Danio rerio: one gene and its partners. The protein of the gene in region 6 interacts with the protein of the main gene of each other region in a pairwise test. Links are inferred from orthologs where the notes say so. Each region holds a gene or a part of one and is shown on either strand. Other genes may lie near its edges.

Region 1 (4,176 bases), on a different chromosome or scaffold from region 6:
TTGATAATCATTTTAAACCATATTATATTTTCAGGTATTATTAAATGTTTTTATTTTTTATTTATTTTTTTCATTAATTATCTTGTTGAACCTAGAATTAATTTATGTATTTATTTGGGAAAAATATATAAAAAGTTGCTATTTATTTGTGTACATTATGAATCATTAAACCAACTCACTATGGTTTTACTTCACAGTTATAGTACAGTTAAACCACGACAACCACAAATTCATGGTTTTCCTGGATCAGACATAGTTTTACCATGGTGTTTGTAGTAATAATAACATAGTTATACAAATTATATTCAATGGGCCCAAACAAAATAACATGGTTGCTACACTTTTACTATACGGTTAATGTTTGTCTACTTCCCTACGTTGTGCACTATTACTCTGTTCTAAACTTTTTTTTGCAAATCTTTATAAACGTACTGTTTAGCCTTTATTGTTAATTATTTTATTATCATTTATGTTAAAGACTGAAAGCAAATAGAAATCCAAGAAATAATTGCATGAATAAATAGGCTATAGAGATAAATAAATGCATTAATAAATAAATATAAAAAAGCACATAAATAAACATAAAATTTAAATAAATACATAAATAAATCTAAAATATAAATAAACACATATATAATATGTTTGCAAATAAAGTTTAAATATAAATGAAAAATGCATGCATAAAATAATAAATAAAAGGAAGTTAAATTAAATTAATAAATTTACTATTAAATTCGATTTTAAACAACAAATATCTGTTTTATTAAGTCATTTATTACTTTTTTCTATATTTTTCCTATTGTTTCTTCATTCATTTTCTTTTCGGCTTGGTCCCTTTATTAATCAGGGGTCGCCACAGTGGAATGAACCGCCAACTTACGTATCTATTTAGCTTAACCAATTCACCTATACTACATCTTTGGACTTGTTGGGGAAACCGGAGCACCCGGAGGAAACCTACGCCAACACGGGGAGAACATGCAAACTCCTCACAGAAATGCCAGCTGACCCAGTCGAGGATTGAACCAGTGATATTCTTGCTGTAAGGTGATCATGCTACCCACTGATGCCCCATATTGTTTTATATCTTTATAAAAACACCTATTTATTTTATTTTAGGTTCTCCGTATATTTGCGGAATAATCTGAACTTTTTGGACTACATTTCTCATCATTTTCCTCATCCGTAACACTTAGTCGACCCTCCTGCATCATAATTGGCTGACGCGTCTCCTTCTTGCAGCCTATGATTGGCTCGATAAAACGCCGATCATACACCCACGCCAATCACAACCACGAATATTTGCTCAGAAGGCGGGACTTCCCATCTTAAAGCCTTCACTACAAATCCCACGATTCCCTCAATAATCGCATCATCCAGGAGCTTCTGGATCGCCCAGATAAAGCCAGAGGATTGAAGCTGACTGTGTTTACGTGATTTTTTGGCTCTTCCTGACAGCAGAAGGGCGGAACAGCGATGAAAATGGACTTAAATGCCATCATAGAGAAAATGGAAACGGGCGACCAGGACGCCGCACTGACAGCTTTACAGACATATAATAAAGAGGTACAGTTATGAACATTACGACTGTTTTAATATCATCAATGTCAGTGTTTTGCTCAAAAGGAGAGTATTTCTAGTTTAATACTATCAATGTTTTATTGTAAATATTTACATAGAGTTGCTTAATACAAGAATATGTCTTCCGTTTTATTAATATTTCATGTGAAACACCGTCATAACGGATCAGAATTATAAATGATGTCACAAATGAAATATATCACAACAACTCCTCTAGTAAACACATTTTGTCTAGGTAATATCAACAATAAACCACGAATATATAGCAGAATGGAATATAAATTACCATATTTATGTGGGATTTAAAAGAAAAGGGTCATGTTGTGGTATTATTTAGTTATATGTTGACAGAAAGCTATTACATAATGCTCTTAAAAATGCCTTACACATATAGTATATATATATATATATATATAATTGTCGTATTACTTATGATAGCAATAATATATTAATATAATAATAACAATAATATACACGTTTCACATGATTATCCTCTTTTAATCATGTCCATATCTCAAATAAACTGCTGTCATGTGGGCCTTTATTGATAACAATTATTAGATTTATACCAATCAAATGTCATCAAAAGTCTTTCAAACTAGGCATGGGCTGGTTTATGCTTGTGAAGGTTTGATAATCTTGGATAAAAACATCACTGTTACATGGTATTGTGATTACTGCTCTAAAATAAGTTCTTTATTATTAATTTTGGAACATGTCAGGCTTAATCATTGAAATAGGTCATTGACTTATGCTAGGTTTGTTAGTTTACAAAACACAGATTTCTTTACTCATTAAAACATACATAAAACATTTTTAAAAAGCCTTTTTGTGGATTTATTTCAGTTATTTAGCCTGACATGTTTACTGTTCCAAAACATAACATTATATATTAATATGTGTGTAATAAATGTGGTCATCTTACATTAGCACTTGCATAAATCTTACATTTATCATCTACCTCCACACATGTACTGTATGTTTGAAATAGGTATGGGACGATAACTGGTTTTATGGTTTACAGACATTTCATTTTCAGGTTCATACACATTTTTACTGCAAAAATTCCATAACTTTTCCAGCACTTTCAAGTCAATTTTCATGACTTAATGTTTCATGTAATTTCTACATATATGTGGTAAATCATAACAAACATCTAAATTTATTACAGCATATCATAAAACATGAAATAGTTTCAATTTATTTTTATATCCATTTATAATAGATGATGCTACACAGCACTAATCATGTGAGAGCATGTTTTTAGCCATGTCTTAGTAAAAACAACACATTTTCACCCACTGAACACAATATACAGTATTTAGTTTTACAATTTTTCAATTTACAATTCATATTTATAAAATCTTGGAACATTTCAGGCTAAATAATTAAAATAACTCATTGACTTTTTTTTAGGTTCGTTAGTTCACAAACACAGATTTCTTTACGACACATAAAAACACATTTTGAAAATGTGTGTGTGTTTTTGTAGATTTATTTGAATGATTTAGCCTGACATGTTTACTGTTGCAAAGTTTTATAAATTTTAATTTTAAATAAAAAATTTGTCAAATAAATACTGTACAGGGCTCAACAATAAGGATGGCCCAGGGCCAGCGTAAGAGACGCTCGGGACAGTAGACAGAATGATCAGTTTGGCAAATCTATTTAATTTGCAAAAAAATAAATAAATACCTGCACATTTTCCATGCTGCGATATTTTACTGCTAAATATTTTTTTTAAAAAATTTAATATTTAAATTCTAGATTCACAGACGTTATTTTTGACACATTATGTAAAATATGTGGCTAAGAAATAGCAAATAACTCCTTATTTTATTTATTTATTTTTTTGGGTGGGACCAGTGAAAATTTGGGCAAGGCAAGAAAAAATCTGAACCACTGATCCAATCGGGCCAGTAGAAAAAATCTTTAGCGTTAAACGCTGCTGTATACTGTGTTCAATGAGGAAAGTGTGTTGTTTTTCATCCACACATTTGAAAAAGAACTTATTTTAGAGCAGTAATCACAAAACCACGAAACCCTGATATTTTTATCCAAGGTTATCATACCTTCACAAACATATGCCGCCTCATGCCTAGTTTGAAGTTATGTCATTTCTTTGGTATGCAATCTAAAATATCGTTATTAATAATTTCCAAACCATGGTAAACCTTAAAACCGGTTATCGTCCCATGCCTATTTCAAACATGCATGTGTGAAGATAAATGAGACAGTGCTAATGTAAGAAGACCAAATTTATTACACACATGTATAGGCCTTTTTAAACTAATGATCCACTTAGTAAATGGGTTAGTGTGTACACTTCAGAAAACATGTTAACTATAAAAGTCATATGAGTTGAAGATCTTTGCGTGACGTGGGTTGGATTAGGACTCAAGCTACCTAAATAGATTGCCTAGGCTGACCCTGATGCTGTGTGAGCCTGTATCACAGATCATCATGCGGTTTAAGTGCTCTGATCATGCTTTAGGAAAGAACCGATGCATCAGGGAGAGATACTAATTAAGAATTGATGACTTATATATGATGTATTTGTTTTAATTGATTCCAAAGTCAGATCTACTTTCATTG
Region 2 (4,164 bases), on a different chromosome or scaffold from region 6:
GCTGAATTGATGTTGTATCTGTCATTGGACTTCATCTACAGTGCGCGCTCGACAGACTGTTTCAGAGGTGCTCGAGTGTCAGAAAGAGTGAAATATTTTGTGTTTGATACAGACATGCGTATATCAACTGAAATAAAATAATTCTAATCCAACAAGAAGGAGCAATGCACAAGAAAGTAAACATTATGCAGAATAATGTGCGCCTGTACTTCTGCCAAGATACAATTCTTAATATAAGGTCCTTGAATGGAGTCAGTCAGTTGCCACTCAATGCATTGCTGAATTCAAATGTTGAAATTTAAATATTAAAACTATTTTTACACTTCAAGATCTAGGTCAGTGGTCAGATAGGTCATAGGCCACAGTACAAAAATATTATTAGATGTTAATAATTAAATAACAATATTGTTAAGTGCCAAAGAAGTGGCAACTTCCAGTTATTTACACTTTCCAGGCTCCTTAATAAATAATGAAAAAAATCTAAACATAAATATAACCATGTCTAAAATTTAATATTAGTTTTATTACAAGATAACCAGAATTCTTGTATAACAATGAGGGCATTCCCAGCCAAAATTTGTCATCTAAATATTTTTACAACTTTGGTTGCATCAAACTAATAATAAATAACTTATCGATCCCTCCTGATCATAACAAGTGCGTTTTAGCACACAAAAGAAAAGGAAAAAAATCAACAATGACACAATAAAGCCAAGCATCTTTGCACGTGTCGGTGAACGATGTAACCTTCACAGCGCTGGCGTCTTTCGGAATAAAATGGGGGCAATAATTAACTGCAGGACCGCCGATACTGCCAATAATTATCCAGTAAATTGGTCGCATAATTAGCCAGAGGAGCGCAGGAATTGGACCGCTCTCTCTCCGAACCACGAACACGCGCAAACGCTCTCAGGGCGTGCAGTTAAACAAAACAAGCTTAATATTAAACCAACACCGCACAAAGCATATCCTCAGTGGCAGATGCAGAATATCCCGAAGATGCATAATTGTCGAGCAATTCCCCAAGTGTGGGTCTTGCTTGATTAAATGAATGGTGTGAGAATAGCGCGCTGTAAACAAGGGAACTGCCGGGGTGCCTCTCTCTCATTCATGCCCCAGAAGAAGGCACTCGGTTCAGCCTTGTGATGCAACGCAGAAGGGGGGGAAGGATCATCGTTGTATATTTTGCAATGATAAATCCAATTATGACTATTCATTTTCACAAGTGAGAAGCAGAGAAATGTGGATGCTGGATGTGGCTTGATACAACTGGACTCCGCTGACGACCAAATAAAAAAAAAACACCAATAAAGATGGCGGTGTCTGAAGGATTAGTGACACTGTTCTGTTGCTTTTTTCTTCTTGACATGTCTAATTTAGCTTCATTTGTAAGGGTATGCATTATCTTACCTGTTTTCTCTTTGATCTCGCAGAGCACACTGAAGAGGGCTGGCTTCATTCTGTGACAGTTGAGCCCATGTTTCCTGTGCCATTTGGGAGCAAGAGACGAGATTGATATATAGTCACTTAAAACTCATAATTGTGTCGCATTAAAACTTCATAAGGCATCAAGTCTTCTGTTGGAATGTATCTTTAAACTGCATTGGTTTGTTAGAAATAAACACAGACAAAGTTCACAACAAAGAGTATAATTAATTAGTGCTAAATATGTAAATTAATTTACAAAGAAGTAAAAGATTTATAGTATGTGGCTAGTGGCTGTAAAAGTATCAGGGCCTCTTCGGCTCAGAAACAGAAAAGTGAGATGTAGAAACTTTTAATGAGATGCTCACATGTGTTGAGCACTTCACCTGTGTATCATTTACATTAAAATGCACAACTTTAGCAGCTAATGTTCTGATTTAGGATAGATCTTGTGACACTGAAACGTGATTTCAACCTGTCAAATGGATTTCAGATGCAAACTTGACCTTTTAGGTTTACTATAGTGACCCAGTGGGTGAAAATTAAAAGTTAGCTAGTGTGAAAAAAAAAGTAAATGAAAGCAACATGAGCTATTGTAAAGAATCAAATGAGCAAGCATGGAATACTTTGTTAAGAAAACAATGCAAGCGTTTATATTACAGAAATGCACCAACTTTGCTTGCGCCTCGTCCAGGCTTTGGTCGGTGATGGTCATGATCTGATGCAGAATGTCACCGATGTCTTGTTTTCTTCCATCCCCATCGGTTCCGTCGTGTCCATGTGGAGGCGGCAGAGCCATGCCGCCTTGTACCGAGTGACCAGCCAGGCTGACACCGCCGAGAGTCTGCATGATCCGGGCTTGCTCGTCCATAGTCCGCCGCAACACAATCAATGCGCTCGTGCTCAGTCACTGAGATGGGTGAAATAAACTCGGATAATGCACATGCAAAAACAACTTGATTATTTCATGTGCGGCGTTTAACGGGTCGCTATCGTGCACAAAATATTGACCGTGAAGCAACGCAGAAGAGAAGAAAAATACAATAAATCGCTGGATCGCGGAATTGATGTCCCGGGAAAAGATTTAAATCGTCTTTGATCCTCCTGTAAGAATGTCCATTAGAGGAAAATTAGCGATGATCTTTCTTGTTTGTTATTGAAGTAAACTTCAGCGTTCAGGTGACAGCGGTTGCCCGTTCAATCCTGTCCGAATCTTCATGCCAATTTGTCTTTTTTCTCTTTGAAGAGCCGGGGTCCTTTGCAGATGTCTGGAATTCTTATTTGCTGTCTTCTTAGGATAATTTCGCCTTGTGCACTTCTGGAAAACTTGGACAAATCCGTAGTATTACAAAGAGTTGCAAACAAAACATCCCATGCCTCTGACGGAAAGTGATAATTAATCAAAATTAATGATTGTGTAATTAAAAAGACGCAGGTTGAGTGTGGACAACTGGCAGAATGTTGTCTTTTAAAAAGATTTCTTTTTTTTCCTCCAAAAATAAAAAAACTGCATAAGAAAATAAAAGAACCCGAGTGAAATAAATTAAACCATCAGCACCGGCGACCAGAGCTATAAAGATTGTAGAGAAAAAAATATATACAAAAACGTATAAAAAAGTTTTCTCACTTTCAGTAGGTAAAATAGAAAAACTAGCGAAAAAAATTAATCACGCGCCATAAAGCGATGCGCAAAAATATCTGCTGGCGGAAATTTATGAGTCGAGCGCGCGGGCTGTGTGTGCTTTATGTTGTTTGATGGCAGCGGTAGTGAGCGATTGACAATGTGCCAATGCCATTCACTCAGTGCGGACGTGTCAGAGAAGAAAAAAAGATACAAAATCGACATCAAAATGCACGCTCCGCCCTGCAGAGGAGGGGTCTTAGATTCTTGTCACTTCTCGCCGAAGCCCCCGAAAACAAAATGCCAGTTAGCTACTAATGATACTGCTGGTGATGATAATGATGAGAGCAGAGCATCAAATCAGCAGCGTTTAAGTCTCCGCTTTACGCGTGCCTCATTTAAAAGCGCGCCCGTGCATTTGAGATGCCGTTACATTATAAAACAAACAAAAGGTCAGAGTTTTATATTGTCTGATTCAAACTAATAATGAATTGCACGGGCCCCCTCGCTTCCTTACACCATAGTATGGTCGCCTCCACAAGCCGTGCTTGCAGGGGCAGGAAAGCAGAGGACATGTTTATAATATTGGAAATAGACGCCTCGAACCAATCGCTTAAGAGACGGCGTTTGACGGGCAGCCGGAGTGACCAATGAGCGACTCGCGCTGATCGAGAACGCCCGCCTTCGGAGCTCAATACCTTTGCTACGGTTGTACAGAGAGATCTCAACTTCTGATTGGACGTTGCCAAGGGTGACATTACTGCACAAGCAGGCGGCGCTGCGCAGCGCTCCTCGCCAGTTGCTATGGCAGCAGACTGTTCGGTGAGCTCGAAGCAAAAACACACAGCGAAACATTTGTGCGCTTCTTCCTCCGTCCGCCGCGCTCCTCTCTCTCTCTCACACACACAGGCAGCCGGCTACAGCCACAAAAACACCGTATTCCATCCACACTCCAACCACTGTTGTTCAAGGTATAGCCCAAAACACGCGTCTTTTGTTCAGTACACCAGTCACCAAAAGCATCAGTATGTGTTGTTCTTGGTCCGTCGTAAATAATAGCGCATGTAGAAGAACTGTATTCAAACGAAGTGCCATGGGGGAATTAGAGACTACTTTTA
Region 3 (4,082 bases), on a different chromosome or scaffold from region 6:
AGCATTACAGTCAAATAGAAAGAAAGATCATTTTATTAAAAAGTAACAAAAATAAAGTGCAATTTCAACTATTTTATTCGTGGTTTTTCCAGTTCACCAGCTCTCAAATCAGTGGGTCCACAAGTGCTAATGAGATCATTAGTAAAAGACATTCCTAAAAACGAGGTGTTAATGGTGGGCTTTTTCTGATGGCTACACCTCAAAACATAGGTGGCCCTATACATCTTGTTAAAAGAATATGGTTAATATTTGTTGGTTTAGCTTACTTTATAACATCATAAGTATTTGAATGTTATCAAATTTCATTTTAAACAAACACGTTAGCAAATAGTGGATTCTTAAACGGTAAAAGTGTAAAGAGCTGTTTATTTGTGGCTCAGAAATGGGGATTTAGCCTATGAAAACAATAAAAAGTGTAATAAAACAGTTGTACAAGTAAATAAATACATCTCTCAGAATGTGATATATTTAATCCAAAAAAATATTTACCTTATTTTACAAAAGACATCTTGTACGCATATATATTTAGAACATTTTGTGGCTTTTTATGACCAAAGCAAGTGTGAACCAAGACAACTTTTGACAAGACTACATAGTTATTCATTTAGACTATGTGCTAACCTCCTTAATATTAACTCATACTGTGGTTTTGGTAGACAATTTGAATGGACTGATAGTTTGAAACATATTGTCAGGACTCTATAATGAGTGAACATGTATAGAGAAATGAAAGGGTTTGAGATAAACATGCATTAGAAACAGAAACACATTTTCAGTTTAAAACAAAATATAGTTCACAAAAAAAATTTATAGATATCCACAAACATTTATACAAGTATGTGGCAAAAAACGAATTAACGTGCAACAAAATACAATCAGATACTCTGAAATTAGAAACCAATACATTGGCTAATTGTATTGAGTTGAGAACGATGCCTAACTGCACGTTATCTTTCGCTAACGTGTTTTCTACTTATGCTTTATGAAAGTTAGACTGTTTAATATTTATGCTGATAATCGTGCAAGTGCTACATTTGCAATTCACATAAGGAGTGAATGTTCGCGCATCACCTGTCTCGCCGGAACGACAAATCCCCTGAAGTTCCTTACGGACAAGATACATTGTAACAAGCAACAGTGCGGTTGCAACGCGAATCGCTTCATTGTAATATTAATGTAAATATCTATGGTATCATTATACACATGTATTCTTTTGTCATGTCGTTATAACTGGAAGTCCGCGTAAACCTACTGTATATACACGTATATAAGGAAGGAAAGAATGAATGAAGAAAGCGCTTCGTCTGAATATAAAGTGATCACCCCGTCCGGAAACCAATGTGTTTACACCAGCTGTTACTGGTAAATGCGATAATACCTGTAACATTATTTCAAATTTAAAACGTACCGTATTCATACACGTATTTAAATGTTTGTTGCAGTGAGGAGAATGTGTGGAAATTGTGTGAATATATCAAGAATCAGAGACATTGTCCTTTGGAAGAGGTGTATGCAGTATTTATATCTAATGAAAGAAAGAAGGTGAGCTTCATCTCCACACAAGTATTTTACATTTAATGAAATGTACAGTTTTCTGTTATATACATACATACACACACACACACACACACACACACACACACATACATATATATATATATATATATATATATATGTATATATATATATATATATATATATATATATACATATATACACACACACACACACACACACACACGTATACAGTCACCGGTCACTTTATTAGGTACAGCTTTCCAACTGCTGCTCAACGCAAAAATAAGCCAATCACATGGCAGCAACTCAATGCATTTAGGCATGTAGACATGGTCAAGACGATCAGCTGCAGTTCAAACCAAGCATAAGAATGGGAAAGAAAGGTGATTCCAGTAACTTTGAACCTCGAACCTTGAGGAGATGGGCTACAGCAGCAGAAGACCACATGGGTGCCACTCTTGTCAGCAAAGACCAGGAAACTGAGGCTACATTTCACACTGGCTCACCAAAATTGAACAATAGAAGATTGGAAAAGCGTTGTCTGGTCTGATAAGTCTCAATTTCTGCTGCAACATTCGGATGGTAGGGTAAGAATTTAGCGTCAGCAACATGAAAGCATGAATCCATCCTGCCTTGTATCAACGGTTCAGGTGGTGGTAGTGTAATGGCATGGGGGGTATTTTCTTGGCACACATTGGGCCCATTAGTACCAATTAAGCATTGTGTCAACGCCACAGCCTACCTGAGTATTGTTGCTGGCCATGTCCATGCCTTTATGACCAGTGTACCCATCTTCTGATGGCTACTTCCAGCAGGATAACGCACCATGTCATAAAACGCAAATCATCTCAGACTGGTTTGTAAAACATGACATGAAGTTCTGTAATCAAATGACTTCCACAGTCACCGGCTCTCAATTCAGTAGAGCACCTTTGGGATGTGGTGGAATGAGAGAATCGCATCACGGATGTGCAGCCAACAAATCCACAGCAACTGTGTAATGCTATCATGTGAATATGAACCAAAATCTCTTGAGGAATATTTCCAGTACCTTGTTGAATCTATGCCACAAAGGATTAAGGCAGTTCTAAAGACAAAAGAGGGTCCAACCCGGTACTAGTAAGGTGTGCCAAACAAAAGGGGCCAATGAGTGTATATATAGTATGTATGTGTGTTAAAAATTGTGTAATATTTCAGATACCTATTTGGAAACAAAAGTCCAGTCGAGGGGATGAACCAGTAATTTGGGTAGGAACTTTATATGTATAAAAACTATGCATATTTTATGGTAGTCTCTAATTGATATAAAAATGTTGTTTTCCATTTAGGATTACCATGTTATTCTTCTACACGCAAGTAAACAAGGACCGAGCTTCATTTACGATTTAGACACCATTCTTCCATTTCCTTGTTCGCTTGACGTTTATTCAATGGAGGCCTTTCAGTCTGACAAGCATTTGAAACCTGCTTACTGGAGGCAAGTATTATCTGGTCTAATCTGCATTCTACAAAAGATGAAATAACATAAGTGTAACAAGTACTTAATAAATTTATAAAAGAAAAGCACATCATAAAATGTGAGGACAAAATTGAATGAAGATTTTAATATGAATTAGTATTTTGAGGCTGCATTGTTATCCATTTAGTATGGCCTCACATTATTCTTGTTTTAAATATAACTTAGTATTTTAAACTACTGTTACACTTAACTACATTTTAGAGGTCATCTTATGTAAATTGTGGTGATGGACAATAGTCAATTAATTTACTTTTGCATTAAATAATATTATTTTTATATATATATTTTTTAACAAATGCTTAAACTCCTTTATGTCTTTGACCCTTATAATAATAATAGCCAGTCTTAGTTGAATGTAATCAAAGTGTTGTTTGCTCTTTTAGGAAACTTCGAGTCATACCCGGGGACACTTATTTGAAGGAGTTTGCTTCTGATCGGTCTCATATGAAGGACTCCGATGGGAATTGGCGTATGCCACCTCCAGCATATCCATGTTTAGAGACACCAGGTTTGTTTTCTATTGCAGATTTATATACAGTAAATACTATAATTTGATTTCTTCTTCCACTTTCATGTATAACGTGTCCTTTTCAGAATCCAAAATGAATCTTGATGACTTCATCTGCATGGATCCCCGAGTGGGATATGGAGAGGTTTACAGCCTTTCAGACTTTGTTAAACACTTTGGAGTAAAGTAATGCTTTTTTTCCAGCACATTTTTTGTTGTTGTTGTTGAAAAATGTACATAAACAGAGCCTCAGGGAAAGATCCTATTATGATGGAGAATGCTGCAACTAAGCAGGCCTCAAAAGACACATTTATTGACTCTGAAATTATTTTTACTAATTGAACAGTTGGCAATGTGGCTTAATTATAGTCAGGTAGAAAGGTCACAGAAAAGAAAGCCATTGTTGTCATTTGTCGAGGATGTGTATTATTTTTATAAAGAAATCAGTTACACAGATGTACAGATAATAAAAATGCAGAATTTAAACAAACAACCAAACCGAAATGCGAAACTGTGTAAGCAGTTGTAGTGCTGTAG
Region 4 (4,037 bases), on a different chromosome or scaffold from region 6:
CAGGTGTGTGTGTGCAGTGCATGACTGGGTCTTGTAGTCCATATAATGGCGGATTTAGATTTCTAAGTGGTCTGCATGGGCTAGATCGCTGGTGCTTGTAACAGTAAGTCATTAATATAATTCATTTTTAAAAATTTAAGCCAGCCATGTAATTATTTACAGTTTGGTACTGAATAAAACATTACTTAGGCAAAATTCAAGTTAACGTTAGTTAATGAAAATACAGTTGTTCATTGTGAATTCATGTTAACTCACGGTGCATTAACTAATGTTAACAAGCACGAGTTTGGATGTTAATAATGCATTAGTAAATGTTCAATTATGATTAATAAATGCTGTACAAGTGTTGTTCATGATTAGTTCATGTTATTAAATGCATTAACTAATGAACCTTATTGTAAAGTGTTACCTTATTCAGAAACAATACCAAACCCAAAAAAGTGATAATGAGCTCTAAATAAAAACCTGTTCATGTGCATACTATGTAACAAGTATGGCGCGTTCTATTTTGACAACAACAGTGCAAAAGCATTTACACCTGTGCATGACACTTGCAATAGAGAAGGGAAGAGTTTGTGCGTTTAAGTGAGACTGCAAAAGCAAAGTCAGGCACACGAGGATTAATCTTTCACATCCACAAAGAAAAGCCAGCACATCCAGTTGTAATAGACAAAACTGTGCGGATTTCAAATTCAGAGGCTGTATAATATAGAATATAGCTCATGTAAACACATCCATGCCTCAAAAGTGGGCCACGAGCCTCGAGTGCTTTATCACGTGCTCCTGTGGAAGCGCACACACACAAACACTGTCACAAAGCAAGCCACATTGACAGTAATGCTTAAGGCTTTTTATGAAATCGGAGTTCTTGTCTAGTTTGGTGTGTGTATTGTGTCTTTTTTTATTTAAATGATGAATTACTATATAGAAAAGCATATCATTTTGGAATATAGCGCTCTATTGATGTATTAAATTGCATCAAGAAGTCATATTAAAGGCTGTTTTGTGCATGTGGAGGATGAAAATAGCAAATATGGGGCAAATCCAGATGAAAAACAACAGAGTTAGATTGACACCAAGCTGAGCCACTCACATGCTGGCATTTTGTGCAGTCATCCAATCAGAATGCATGGGGTGGGATGTGAAATGTGTCGGGGGAGGGGACAAGTAGTGCTGCAAAACTGCCCTGACAGGACGAGGAGAGACAAAGAGACGCCGTAGCAACCGCAGCATCTCTTTGCTTTCCTGCATCCGATTGCAATTGTCCAGAGAGGACCTTGTCGTCTCCTTTTCTTCCCTACACTTCTTTAAGCAAGCGTACACAATCTCTAAGCTACCATGCCGGAGTGCTGGGATGGGGTGAGTGGGATATCTATGATTTTAGGATGTAAACACAGGATTCTATTTATTTATTTATTTGTTAATACTAATACATGTGCTATCATGTCATTCTTTATTGTTTAGCCAAATGAATGTATATTTAATTGATTAGCCTTATGCATGCTTGAAATAATTAGCTTGACCTACTGAACTGGTATTGTGCACCAGTTCCATCATTACAGATCTATGCATGTTTATACTTGCCTGATGGCTACTTATTATCATTTATTTCAATTTATCAATCCTAATGGTTATTTAGTAATTATATTGAAATAAAAATAATCATTTAAAATAAAATCTTATTTATTTATTATTTAATAAAAAGCTAAATGTGTACATTTGTATCATAAATGTATAATATAAAACATATATATATATATATATATATATATATATATATATATATATATATATATATATATATATATATATATAATTTTTTATATTTAATATAATATAATATAATATGATATAAGATAATATAATAGATATATTCATAAAATAAAATATCAAATAAAAAGCTCCATCTGGTGAAAGCGTGATGCTGATATTGTGTGTTGTGCAGAAATGTCCAGTCATGTATGAGGTGGCCATTTGCACTAACACACTAACACACTGCCACGTGTGGGACGTGCGCACTGATGTACCTCTGCAGTGACCTGGAGTGTGTGTGTTTAGAAATGTGTGTTTGTGCATTGTGAAACTGACACCAAATCTGCGATCTAATCATAAAAATCCTCATCCAAGGACGATTGTGTGACCTTGAGCTTAAAGAAAACGAGCAGCTAAAAAAGAGCAGTACTTCAACTCACGACGCACTGCTTTACTATTGTTTTGTGCATAATATTGTCATATCTAGGTCAGATTTTGTGTTTATCTCGTCAGTGTTTGTTCCATATTGTCTGTCTAGAAAACATGCTTGACATTTTGCAAAACACAGTGACAGCTGCTATGAGATTTAATTTTGACCCGAACACAGAGTTACACAAACAGCTGTCCTTAACTCGCACAAATACACTTGCATCCGGTCTGAGCTTCCACTATTTTTTTATTTTTTATTTTCCACTAACATCAAAACCACACACTGACAGGGGCTTAAAGCCCACAGGAGATTTATTTCCCTGTCTCTCTGTGGATCTGCATTAAGCTCGGGGCTGCCTGCGAGGTGTCTGCGTGGATTTGTGCATAACATTGGAAAGCTAGAGATTCTGAAATAATCCTTATAGGACAAGAAAAAAACACACATCCATCGCTTCTCCACTTGGAGTAAAGTCTGACGGTGAATGTGGGTCAGTTCAGATTAAAATGCCTTTGGAAATGGCAATTAAAAGTGTGTTAAATGACTATGAACAGGAATCGGAGACGCTTAATAAGATATTAATTAGTTGTGTTTTTTTTTTACTCTCGATTAAATACATTTTTTATTGCCCATTAAAAATTTGGCAGCCCTTTTAGTAACTACAATATAAATCAATGTTTTAGTTTGTGTCAAAACATACAGGCTGAAATGAGAATTTCTGGCAGACTGCCTCCTTTTATTTAGTTTGTGTTAAGATACAACTGTTAAGCTGAATTTGTTGCATCTAAACAAGCTAAAACTTGATTTTTAAGTTAGCCCAATATACAATATTTTACTGAGTATAGATTGCCTTTTGAAATTAGAACATGATTGGAACAAATTTTGATTTTATAGTTTGTGTTTGGATACAAAAAATAAAGCATGACTTATTAGATTTCACCACATTTTAGCCTGTATGAAGTGGTAAATTGGGTCAGTCTTCTCACAATGTCAATACGTAGCTAAATATGCCAGATTTTGCCACAATATGGACCACTTGATGACACTGGGATGATATTGGTCCAGTTCACAAGTTTTAGCTACAGAATTTTCAACAACAACAACAACAACAAAAAACCTTTTAAACCCATTTTCAGTCAGTAATTTGCATCTAAATTAGGGTCATATTTAAGCTAAAACTGGAAAATTGGGTCAATCTCGTTTCAATGTCAATATGTACCTCAATATACTAGATTTTGCCAAATATTAGCCACTGGGATGAGATTGGTCCAGTTTAAGTTTTACCTACAAAATTTTCACCAAAAAAAATATTTTAAATTCATTTCAAGTCAGTATGTTGCATCTAAATTACTGTTGTATTTAAGTTACAACTGGAAAATTGGGTCAGTTTCGTCCCAATGTCAAAAAATTAGCTCAATATGCCAGATTCTTCCACAATATTGGCCACTTGATGACACTGGGATGAGATTGGTCTAGTTAATAAGTTTTACCTACAAAATTCCAACTAAAAAAAACATTTTAAACCTATTTTTAACCAAGTATGTTGTATCTAAATTAGGGTATTTAAGCTACAACTTAGATTTGTGTTAGGACAATATGAAATAATTGTGTGGAGCCCTGCAAACAAGCAAGCCAGCCCAGATGAAAAAAAGTAATGGGAAAGTAACTTAATGCATTACTTTCCTCAAAAAGTACCTAAGTACTGAATTTAGTTACTTGAAAAAAATGTAATCCAATGTTACTTTTAAAAGTAACTTCCCACAACATTTTAGATCCATCCTGACAGTTTCTCAGGCTCTTTGCTGAAATTGTTGTTTTTGTGTGTTCAGGAACATGACATTGAAACCCCTTATGGGAT
Region 5 (4,055 bases), on a different chromosome or scaffold from region 6:
GTTTTTCTGCCTACCTCTTGGACTTTTATTACTATTATTATTCATTAATTTTCTTTTCGCCTTAGTCCCTTTAAAAATCCAGGGCGGAATGAACCGCCAACTTATCCAGAAAAAAACTCAACCTCTTGTAAACTCAAAAATAGAAAAGTAGTTCATGTTAACGTGTAAATGAGCTAAATGTGTTAATAAAGCTCTATTGAAACTAACTTAAACCCCAAATGTGACCCTGGTGCAAGTATCATTTTGGCAAAAGCCAAAAATGCATGTAGGTCAAAAGAATTGAATTTTCTCTTATGCCAAAATCATTGTATTGAGTAAGGACCATTAGGATATTTTCTAAATATTACATTGTAAACAAAATTTGCATCGCTAAACACTAGAAAACTTTAAAGGCGAGTTTCTCTATATTTTTTATTTTATTGTAAGCTTGGTAAGCTTAGTTGGTAATAGAAAGTGTAGTTATTCCGATTTAATTCATTCATTAATTTGATTTCAGCAGTCCTTTATTCACCAGGGGTTACCACAGCGGAATGAACCCTCAACCTATTCAGTATATGTTTTACACAGCATATGCCCTTCCAGCCACAACCCAGTACTGGTAAACACCCATACACTCTTACACATACACTATATATATCTATATATATATATATATATATATATATATATATATATATATATATATATATATATATATATATATATATATATATATATATATACTATACTATACGGTGCATGTCTTTGGACTGTGGGGGAAACCCGAGCACCCTAAGGAAACCCTCACTCAGGGAGAACATGCATCTCCAAACAGAAATGCCAACTGACCAAGTCGGGATATCATTAATGTGATGTATAAATCTTAATTACCAAAACCTGCCTTTAATAGTTTCTTGTTTTATAGTACAGGGTAACAAATATGGGACGTTTGTCATGAAAGTAGACGTAGTCGAGTGTAAAGATCGCTAGAGTTGTGTATTGGGACATGGCCATTGTAGCTTGTAGGTAAGGGATAGTCTAAAAATTGGCAGCTACATTTATCTAGTCCTCAAACGAAATTAAACTACAGCTTGTTCTCTTTGTAAAAGCTATTATTTAATTATAGGTAACTAACATTAATCTATTATTTGTCATCAAGGAAGCAAATACATTAAAAAACTAAAATAATAAAGCGAGACTGCAAAAAAAAAAAAAAAAAAAGGGAATTTGACATGACCCCTAGATGAGTGTTCTCGCGAAAGAGGTGTTATCGCGAGACAAGAAGGAGATGTTTTGAGTCTACATGCGTCTGTTTTATGACAACCTGGGTTAGTAAACATTGATGTTTTAATTTAATGTTGTTGTATTAAGTAGTTATTCGTAATAATGCTTTGTCATCTCAGACTATGTAACCTTACGTCATATTTATTTTGCTTTAGGTCATTTTGCGTACAAACACAATGTTACTTTAATGTCGTGTAATAATCAAATGTAGGGGGGGGCATTGTGCTGTACGTTACACTCATAAATAGATTAAATAATTAGATACGTCTTCTGTGGAACTTTGTCATGACATTGCCATGGTTTAATTGTAGTAAATATAATAACAATTATTTCTTGTTGCATAACCCACCATTTTTTTATTTAACTACCACAATGTTACTACAAATGTTGTGGTTAATCTATAGCATTGCATTGATTTGTTTTTACAAGGATTTAACTACAGACACACACACTCACCGGCCACTTTATTAGGTACACCTTACTAGTTGGCTACCAGGTTGGATGCCCTTGTGAACTGCTATAATCCTTCGTGGCATAGATTTATATTAGAAATATTCCTCCGAGATTTTGCTCCATATTGACATGATAGCATCATGCAGTTGCTGCAGATTTGTCAGCTGCACATCCATGATGTGAATCTCCTGTGCCACCACATCCCAAAGGTGCTCTAGTGGATTGAGATCTAATGACTGTGGAGGCCATTTGAGTACAGTGAACATATTGTCATGTTCAAGAGACCAGTCTGAGGTGATTCACGCTTTATGGCATGGTGCGTTATCCTGCCATAAGTATAGTATAGAACTCCATGCCTTCATGTTGTTGAAGCAAAATTCTGACCCTACCATCAGAATAACGCAGCAGAAATCAAGACTCATCAGACCAGGCAACATTTTTCCAATCTTCTATTGTCCCATTTTGGTGAGCCTGTGCGAATTGTAGCCTCAGTTTCCTGTTCTCAGCTGACTGGAGTGGCACCTGGTGTGGTCTTCTGCTGCTGTAGCCCATTCGCCTCAAGGTTGGACGTGTTGTGCGTTCAGAGATGCTTTTCTGCATACCTCTGTTGTAACGAGTGGTTATTTGAGTTACTTTTCAAAACTGAGCTGGTCGGGTTTGGCGATCCTATCCCTCTGCATTTATCAGGTTTTGGTGAGCTTTCCACTTATCAAAAACCTGTTGTTAGAAACCTAGGATTTCAATTCGACAATGATCTGAAATTTAACAAGCAATTAAATACAATTGTTAAATCCAGTTTTTTCCATTTACGACTTGTGGCAAAAGTAAAGTCGTTTCTTTTAATTTTTAATGACCTTGAGGAGGTGATCCATGCTTTTATTTTGGGAAGACTTGACTATTGCAATTCCCTGTATGTGGGTATTAGTCAAAATGCCCTAAATAGATTGCAATTAGTACAAAATGCGGCTGCGAGACTTCTGACAGGGACTCGCAAGTTTGCACACATATCCCCAGTTCTTTCCTTTCTGGGCTGGCTGCCTGTTAGGTCACGGATTGATCTGGCACCATCTTACTTATTAGACCTGCTACATGTATACAATCCTGGTAGGTAACTGAGGTCTTCTGATGAATTTATTCTATCTATACCAAGGTCCCGGTGTAAGCGGAGTGGGGATCGGGCTTTTGCTGTTGTCGCCCCAAAACTCTGGAACGGGCTTCCTTCCCACATCAGACATGCTCCAACTCTACCTGTTTTTAAAAAGCATTTGAAACGCCATCTTTGTTCTCTAGTATTTGAGCCTTTTTAATGTTGAGGGGTTTGCCTTATGTTTTAATTGCTATGTGTGTGATGTAGATTTTATTTTTAGTATTGATTGTGTTCAGCACTTTGGGCAACGTTGTGTTGTACAAAATGTGCTATATAAATAAATAAACTAAATAAATAAATAAACTAAACTGTTGCCTTTCTATCAGCTGGAACAAGTCTGGCCATTCTCCTCTGACTGCTGATGTAAACAAGGCATTTGCGTCCCAGAACTGCCGCTCACTGGACTTTTTCTCTTTTTCGGACCATTCTTTGTAAACTCTAGAGATGGTTGTGTGTGAAAATCCCAGTAAATCAGCAGTTTCTGAAATACTCAGACCAGCCCGTCTGGCATAAACAACCATGCCACATTCAAAGTCACTTAAATCAGCTTTCTTCCTCATTCTGATGCTCGGTTTGAGCTGCAGCAGATCGTCTTGACCATGTCTACATGCCTAAGTGCAGTGAGTTGCTGCCATGTGATCGGCTGATTAGAAATTTGCATTAACCAGCAGTTTTGACAGGTGTACTTAATAAAGTGGCCGGCTAGTGTATTTTTACTGTAATAAAACTGACTCTTCTTGGCAGCCTCTTTATTTGACGATGATATTAATTCCATTCTGTTGTCAAATTAAAGCAGCTCCGCCATGGACTCGCAGTCATCGATTCTGGAGGAGAACTTGGAGAAGATTTTGAGGGGTGAGGGTCTCGAGTTTGATTCAGTCGCTGAACAAGTGGACCCAGTCACACTGAGGAAGAACGTGTGTTATATTGTCGGCGCAGTCATTTTCAATTCAAAGGTAAAGATGGTGTTGTTGTTCTTGCATGTGAGTGTTGTCTATTTACTGGAACAAGACTGTTTGGTAGCAAGGAATGAAACTGAAGGCAGCACAGTCAATGTGGCTTAATTTACAGTATGCCAGTGTTCAAGAATTATTCTCAGTACTTTATTTACATACTGGTCATGTGACCATGATCTAAATATTGAAAGATATTTCAAACCAAGTTAGGTTTGAAAATAGATTAATAATGAACA
Region 6 (4,118 bases):
TGACTTCTAGTTGATCATTTGGAAAAGTGGCAGAAGGTAAATTTTTTGATTAATCATGTTGAACTGCATCACACATACTGCTGACCTATTGGAACCCTCATGGACCCAAGATTCTCACAGAAATCAGTCAAGTTTGGTGAAGGAAAAAATATGATTTGTGTTTACATTTATTCAACATCAACAGCCTGAGATATCAAGACATTTGCTGCCCTTTTCATTACATATCACAGGAGAGGGCAAATTCTTCAGCCGGATCACGCTCCTTCTCATACTTCAGCCTCCACATCAAAGTTCCTGCAAGCAAAGGTCAAAGTGCTCCAGTATTGGCCAGCCCAATCACCAGACATAAAAGTTATTGAGCATGTCTGGGGTAAGATGGAGGCGAAGGCATTGAAGATGAATTCAAAGAATCTTGATGAACTCTGGGAGTCCTGCAGGAACACTGTTTTTGCCATTCCAGATGACTTTATTAATAAGTGATTTGAGTCATTGCAGAGATGTGTGGATGCAGCCCTCCAAGCTCATGGGAGTCATACACAATATTAATTATTTTTCCATTGCACCATGACTTTATATTCTATACTGTACATTATTTCTGTTAAGTCTTTTGTTTTAGCAAAGTCAGGCCTTACTATCCTCATTAAATAATAAAAAATCAAGGCATAATCATATTTTATTTTGGTAAAAGAAGCGTACACTAGAGGCCTTTGCCTTTCAGCCACTGATACCAAATCATCAACTAAGTCAAGTTATTTGTTGTTCCTAAAACTTGGATAGGCCACAAGGTTTTTGGCAGTGTGTACTGGAAAAGAACAGAAATCCAATTCCTGAAATTAATAGCATTTAGCTAGAAAAAAAGTATTTATTGACATCACATATTTATAATGCTGCAAATGAATGTCAACTATACAATGTTCATTACTAGGTATGTCTGTTCTTGAATATTAAAATATATTATATATTATCAAGGGCTGATTTAGTGATTTTGGGGCCATAAACAATTCCAGCCAAGGGGCCCAAAAGTTCTAGAATGCATCTTTTGTACTTGAATTTTTAAAAATTATTTTCATATTTTTTTAGTTTTGCTGTTTTTTTCTTATATCATTAAACCTCATTTTCTATATTTTATCTTAATGCAAAATAATAGTTATAACATGTAAAGGACATTGTATCCATTTAAAAAAAATTTAGGTGCATGCCCTGTATGCTGATCCGTGTCACTAGGAGGCAGTCGCAAGTTTGACTCGTGTTAACTTATGTCAACAGAAGAAGATCGTCACCGCTGTTTGCGAACCACATCATATCCGCTGCACATCAACACAGTCAACACATCTACACAAAGTGCTGTGAGTATGATTGTTACTTTAAGGTTTACTCCCCTTTTAAAGCACAATTCTAGAAATATTTCGTCTCACTGTCTGTCGATTTCTCTATGTTACTAACGTTACCGATTGATCTCAAAGTTAAGGGGTATCGATATATATTTTGAGAAAGAGCGCTTGCTGCTGTCTGTAACGGATTTGATAAACAAACTTTATGGATTATGTTTTGTGACATACCAAAAAAAGAAAACGTTGTTTATTGTCTGACTGTAATAATTTATTTTTTGAGGCACATCTGACGTAATGTAGCAGCTTAACAAACTTGCTCTACCGGATTGTTTCTCTTCTTGAACGCAGAGTTTCAGTTGCAGCCCATGAGTGACATCATTTTTCCAGTAACGTCATTGAACACGTTCATAACTTACCATAACATAGAAAGCGAGCTTCATAGATTAAGTGAAGACATACAGAGGAAGTTTAGAAAGTTGCTTTCTGTGAAGGAGATCAAATTCATTGTTTTCCTATCAAGTGTAAAAGTCTTAGTATCCCTTGACTAAAGTTATGTGCATGTTCTTGTACTTATAACGTTAGAGGTAAAGTTGGTTTTATATTCGCACATTTAGAAGTCCCTATATTGTTTACCATGTTACTTTGAATATTCGATCGGAATTAGCCTGCAAGTATGACTTCTAAATAACATTAATTCTATCTAATTGATTGTGAACAATGTTGTACTTTGATAATCATTTGGTGCTTATATGATTTTCCTATTCGGAATTTGCAAAGAATACTTTTCTGAAATTATATTGTTAAGGAGAATGTCTGAATATCCGAATATAACTTTTCCTTTATCTTATACTTCACTTTGAAGAACCTTTCATCTATAGTTTGCTATTCATTAATCCAGCCTTTTGAAAGGGTTTTTTCTTAATAGGTAGATCTTTTTGCTGTTGTTCGCCTCATTTTCTGTTTAGTTATGAGATTTCAATGCTGAATTTAGATGAAATTTTAAGCACTTTTTACCTGACTTTATTGAATCAATTATCTTGTTGGATGGTCATCATAACCACACTTTTTGATGTACCAAAACATTTCCTAAATATTTATAATAAAGAAATAAATATGGCAAATATGTGTTTTTAAAACAGAAATATATTGCATCATTTATCATGCATCAACGTTTTAAATTAGAAACTGTAGCCTAGTGTAATTTATTAAGCAAATAACTGACTGGCCAGCACATTCAACTTTCCTCAGTCAGAATGTGGCCATTTAAATAATAATAAAAAACTAAAACATAATAATAATAATAATAACAACAACAACAGTTAAGAGCTTCACAGTTTTTCTAGCCTCTTGTATAAGTACTTTACACTTTATTGGTTATTTTTTGTTTCAAGAAAAGTGATTGATAATAAAAGTTACTTGTCAAATCTTTTCCCAATTTGAAAACAATAAAGTAGTGAAAGATGACTTTGCTTATGTCAGGTGTTTTCTTGCACAGCTGGATGTTGGACTCTTGAAAAATAATTGTTTGTATTGGCCAAAACTGATTAACTGAAGTCACACCAGGATTACGCTTGGTCTTAATGCCTTTTTCGATGGGTTATTTTCACTATTTATGATGGCATAGCAGTCAAAAAAGAACAAATGAGCTCATGTATTGGACAAATTCTGGACCTTTGTCAGTGTGGGTGGGTGGGTCTTCCGAAAACCCCTGGCTACGGGCCTGGTGAGTGTTTTTTTTAAGTGGATAAAAGGATTAGTTCACACAAAAATAAAACTTCTGTTATTAATTACTCACCTTCACGTCCTTTTAATTCCTGCATGAAATCTAAGTTTCCTCATCATCCTTTTATGGTCCAGACACATTTATAGTCCAGAAAAGGAACTAAACACATTGTCAAAACATTCCATGTGACTTCAGTGGGTCAACTATAATCATATGAAGCTCCAAGAACACTTTTGTGTGTCAAAAACGTATCAGATCAGGACATGCGTTTATTATGAACTCTGATTACCTGAAGCGGAAGAGAGGACAAATAGTGGTACTTAATCACATAATTTAAATTTTTGGGTGAACTAACCTTTTGAAGTTTTATATGAAAGGCCATGGTCCTTTGTTATTCATACAATGCAAGTCAACAGTTACCTGCACTTATAGAGTCAAACATAAATATACAGGCAAAACATATTTAACTTCTGTGACACCTGAAAACACATTGAGGTCTAATAAAGGGAAACTATAGGTCTGTGCAAAAAGCTGAGCAATATTAACAGTAACTTATTATTGCATCTTACCCAATGATCCCACTTTCTTCTTTTGACAACCACAATGTCCTTTACATCTCAATCAACCCACATAGTATAAATGTACCAGTGGCTCTCAACTCTGTTGGAAATTAAATCAACATATGAATATATTTAAATCAAAATAGTAATACATTCTTGTTGATTAAGATATGTGTTTTATTATTAGACACGTCGAGATGGATGCAAAAGTAAGTGACCCCTTTAGCAGCGAGGCAGAGCAGCTTCCAGGAGCAGGAATTGTGGGAAGGTGAGTCTGTCACCAGAAATACTACAATCTGTAAAAGCCCAAAACTCCAGAAATTGTTTATTGTTTAACTCTTATTGAGAGTCACATTAGATAAAAGACACTGCTAAATGATTAATTTCTTTAAAAAAATTATTTTAATTGTAACTTTCTTTGTTGTTGTTTATATATATATATATATATATATATATATATATATATATATATATATATATATATATTTATATGTATGTAAGTAT

Evidence for each region.
Region 1: the proteins of rabac1 (region 6) and ric8a interact in binary tests that used the Homo sapiens proteins (3 or more experiments, as listed by UniProt). The link is inferred for Danio rerio from reciprocal best matches to the Homo sapiens genes RABAC1 and RIC8A.
Region 2: the proteins of rabac1 (region 6) and pbx3b interact in a two-hybrid assay, tested with the Homo sapiens proteins (2 studies listed by BioGRID). The two-hybrid records come from large-scale screens. The link is inferred for Danio rerio from reciprocal best matches to the Homo sapiens genes RABAC1 and PBX3.
Region 3: the proteins of rabac1 (region 6) and ntaq1 interact in binary tests that used the Homo sapiens proteins (3 or more experiments, as listed by UniProt). The two-hybrid records come from large-scale screens. The link is inferred for Danio rerio from reciprocal best matches to the Homo sapiens genes RABAC1 and NTAQ1.
Region 4: the proteins of rabac1 (region 6) and ndrg4 interact in binary tests that used the Homo sapiens proteins (3 or more experiments, as listed by UniProt). The two-hybrid records come from large-scale screens. The link is inferred for Danio rerio from reciprocal best matches to the Homo sapiens genes RABAC1 and NDRG4.
Region 5: the proteins of rabac1 (region 6) and nudt18 interact in binary tests that used the Homo sapiens proteins (3 or more experiments, as listed by UniProt). The two-hybrid records come from large-scale screens. The link is inferred for Danio rerio from reciprocal best matches to the Homo sapiens genes RABAC1 and NUDT18.

The regions. Positions count from the first base shown.
Region 1 is NC_133200.1:11,275,140-11,279,315, forward strand, and holds the start of ric8a (chaperone Ric-8A), read left to right. Parts: upstream 1-1,376; 5' UTR 1,377-1,476; coding exon 1,477-1,566; intron 1,567-4,176.
Region 2 is NC_133183.1:36,175,571-36,179,734, forward strand, and holds the start of pbx3b (pre-B-cell leukemia transcription factor 3b), read right to left. Parts: upstream 2,801-4,164; 5' UTR 2,297-2,800; coding exon 2,100-2,296; exon of another isoform or gene 2,096-2,099; intron 1,485-2,095; coding exon 1,411-1,484; intron 1,374-1,410; exon of another isoform or gene 1-1,373. UniProt on the Homo sapiens protein: Transcriptional activator that binds the sequence 5'-ATCAATCAA-3'.
Region 3 is NC_133194.1:37,454,635-37,458,716, forward strand, and holds ntaq1 (protein N-terminal glutamine amidohydrolase), read left to right. Parts: upstream 1-1,282; coding exon 1,283-1,362; intron 1,363-1,442; coding exon 1,443-1,542; intron 1,543-2,715; coding exon 2,716-2,766; intron 2,767-2,846; coding exon 2,847-2,995; intron 2,996-3,420; coding exon 3,421-3,545; intron 3,546-3,631; coding exon 3,632-3,735; 3' UTR 3,736-3,751; downstream 3,752-4,082. UniProt on the Homo sapiens protein: Mediates the side-chain deamidation of N-terminal glutamine residues to glutamate, an important step in N-end rule pathway of protein degradation.
Region 4 is NC_133200.1:14,289,094-14,293,130, reverse strand, and holds the start of ndrg4 (protein NDRG4), read left to right. Parts: upstream 1-1,237; 5' UTR 1,238-1,338; coding exon 1,339-1,359; intron 1,360-4,008; coding exon 4,009-4,037. UniProt on the Homo sapiens protein: Contributes to the maintenance of intracerebral BDNF levels within the normal range, which is necessary for the preservation of spatial learning and the resistance to neuronal cell death caused by ischemic stress.
Region 5 is NC_133183.1:55,665,518-55,669,572, forward strand, and holds the start of nudt18 (8-oxo-dGDP phosphatase NUDT18), read left to right. Parts: upstream 1-1,255; 5' UTR 1,256-1,307; intron 1,308-3,656; 5' UTR 3,657-3,666; coding exon 3,667-3,819; intron 3,820-4,055. UniProt on the Homo sapiens protein: Mediates the hydrolysis of oxidized nucleoside diphosphate derivatives. Hydrolyzes 8-oxo-7,8-dihydroguanine (8-oxo-Gua)-containing deoxyribo- and ribonucleoside diphosphates to the monophosphates. Hydrolyzes 8-oxo-dGDP and 8-oxo-GDP with the same efficiencies.
Region 6 is NC_133191.1:11,086,695-11,090,812, reverse strand, and holds the start of rabac1 (prenylated Rab acceptor protein 1), read left to right. Parts: upstream 1-1,318; 5' UTR 1,319-1,346; intron 1,347-3,801; 5' UTR 3,802-3,811; coding exon 3,812-3,882; intron 3,883-4,118. UniProt on the Homo sapiens protein: General Rab protein regulator required for vesicle formation from the Golgi complex. May control vesicle docking and fusion by mediating the action of Rab GTPases to the SNARE complexes.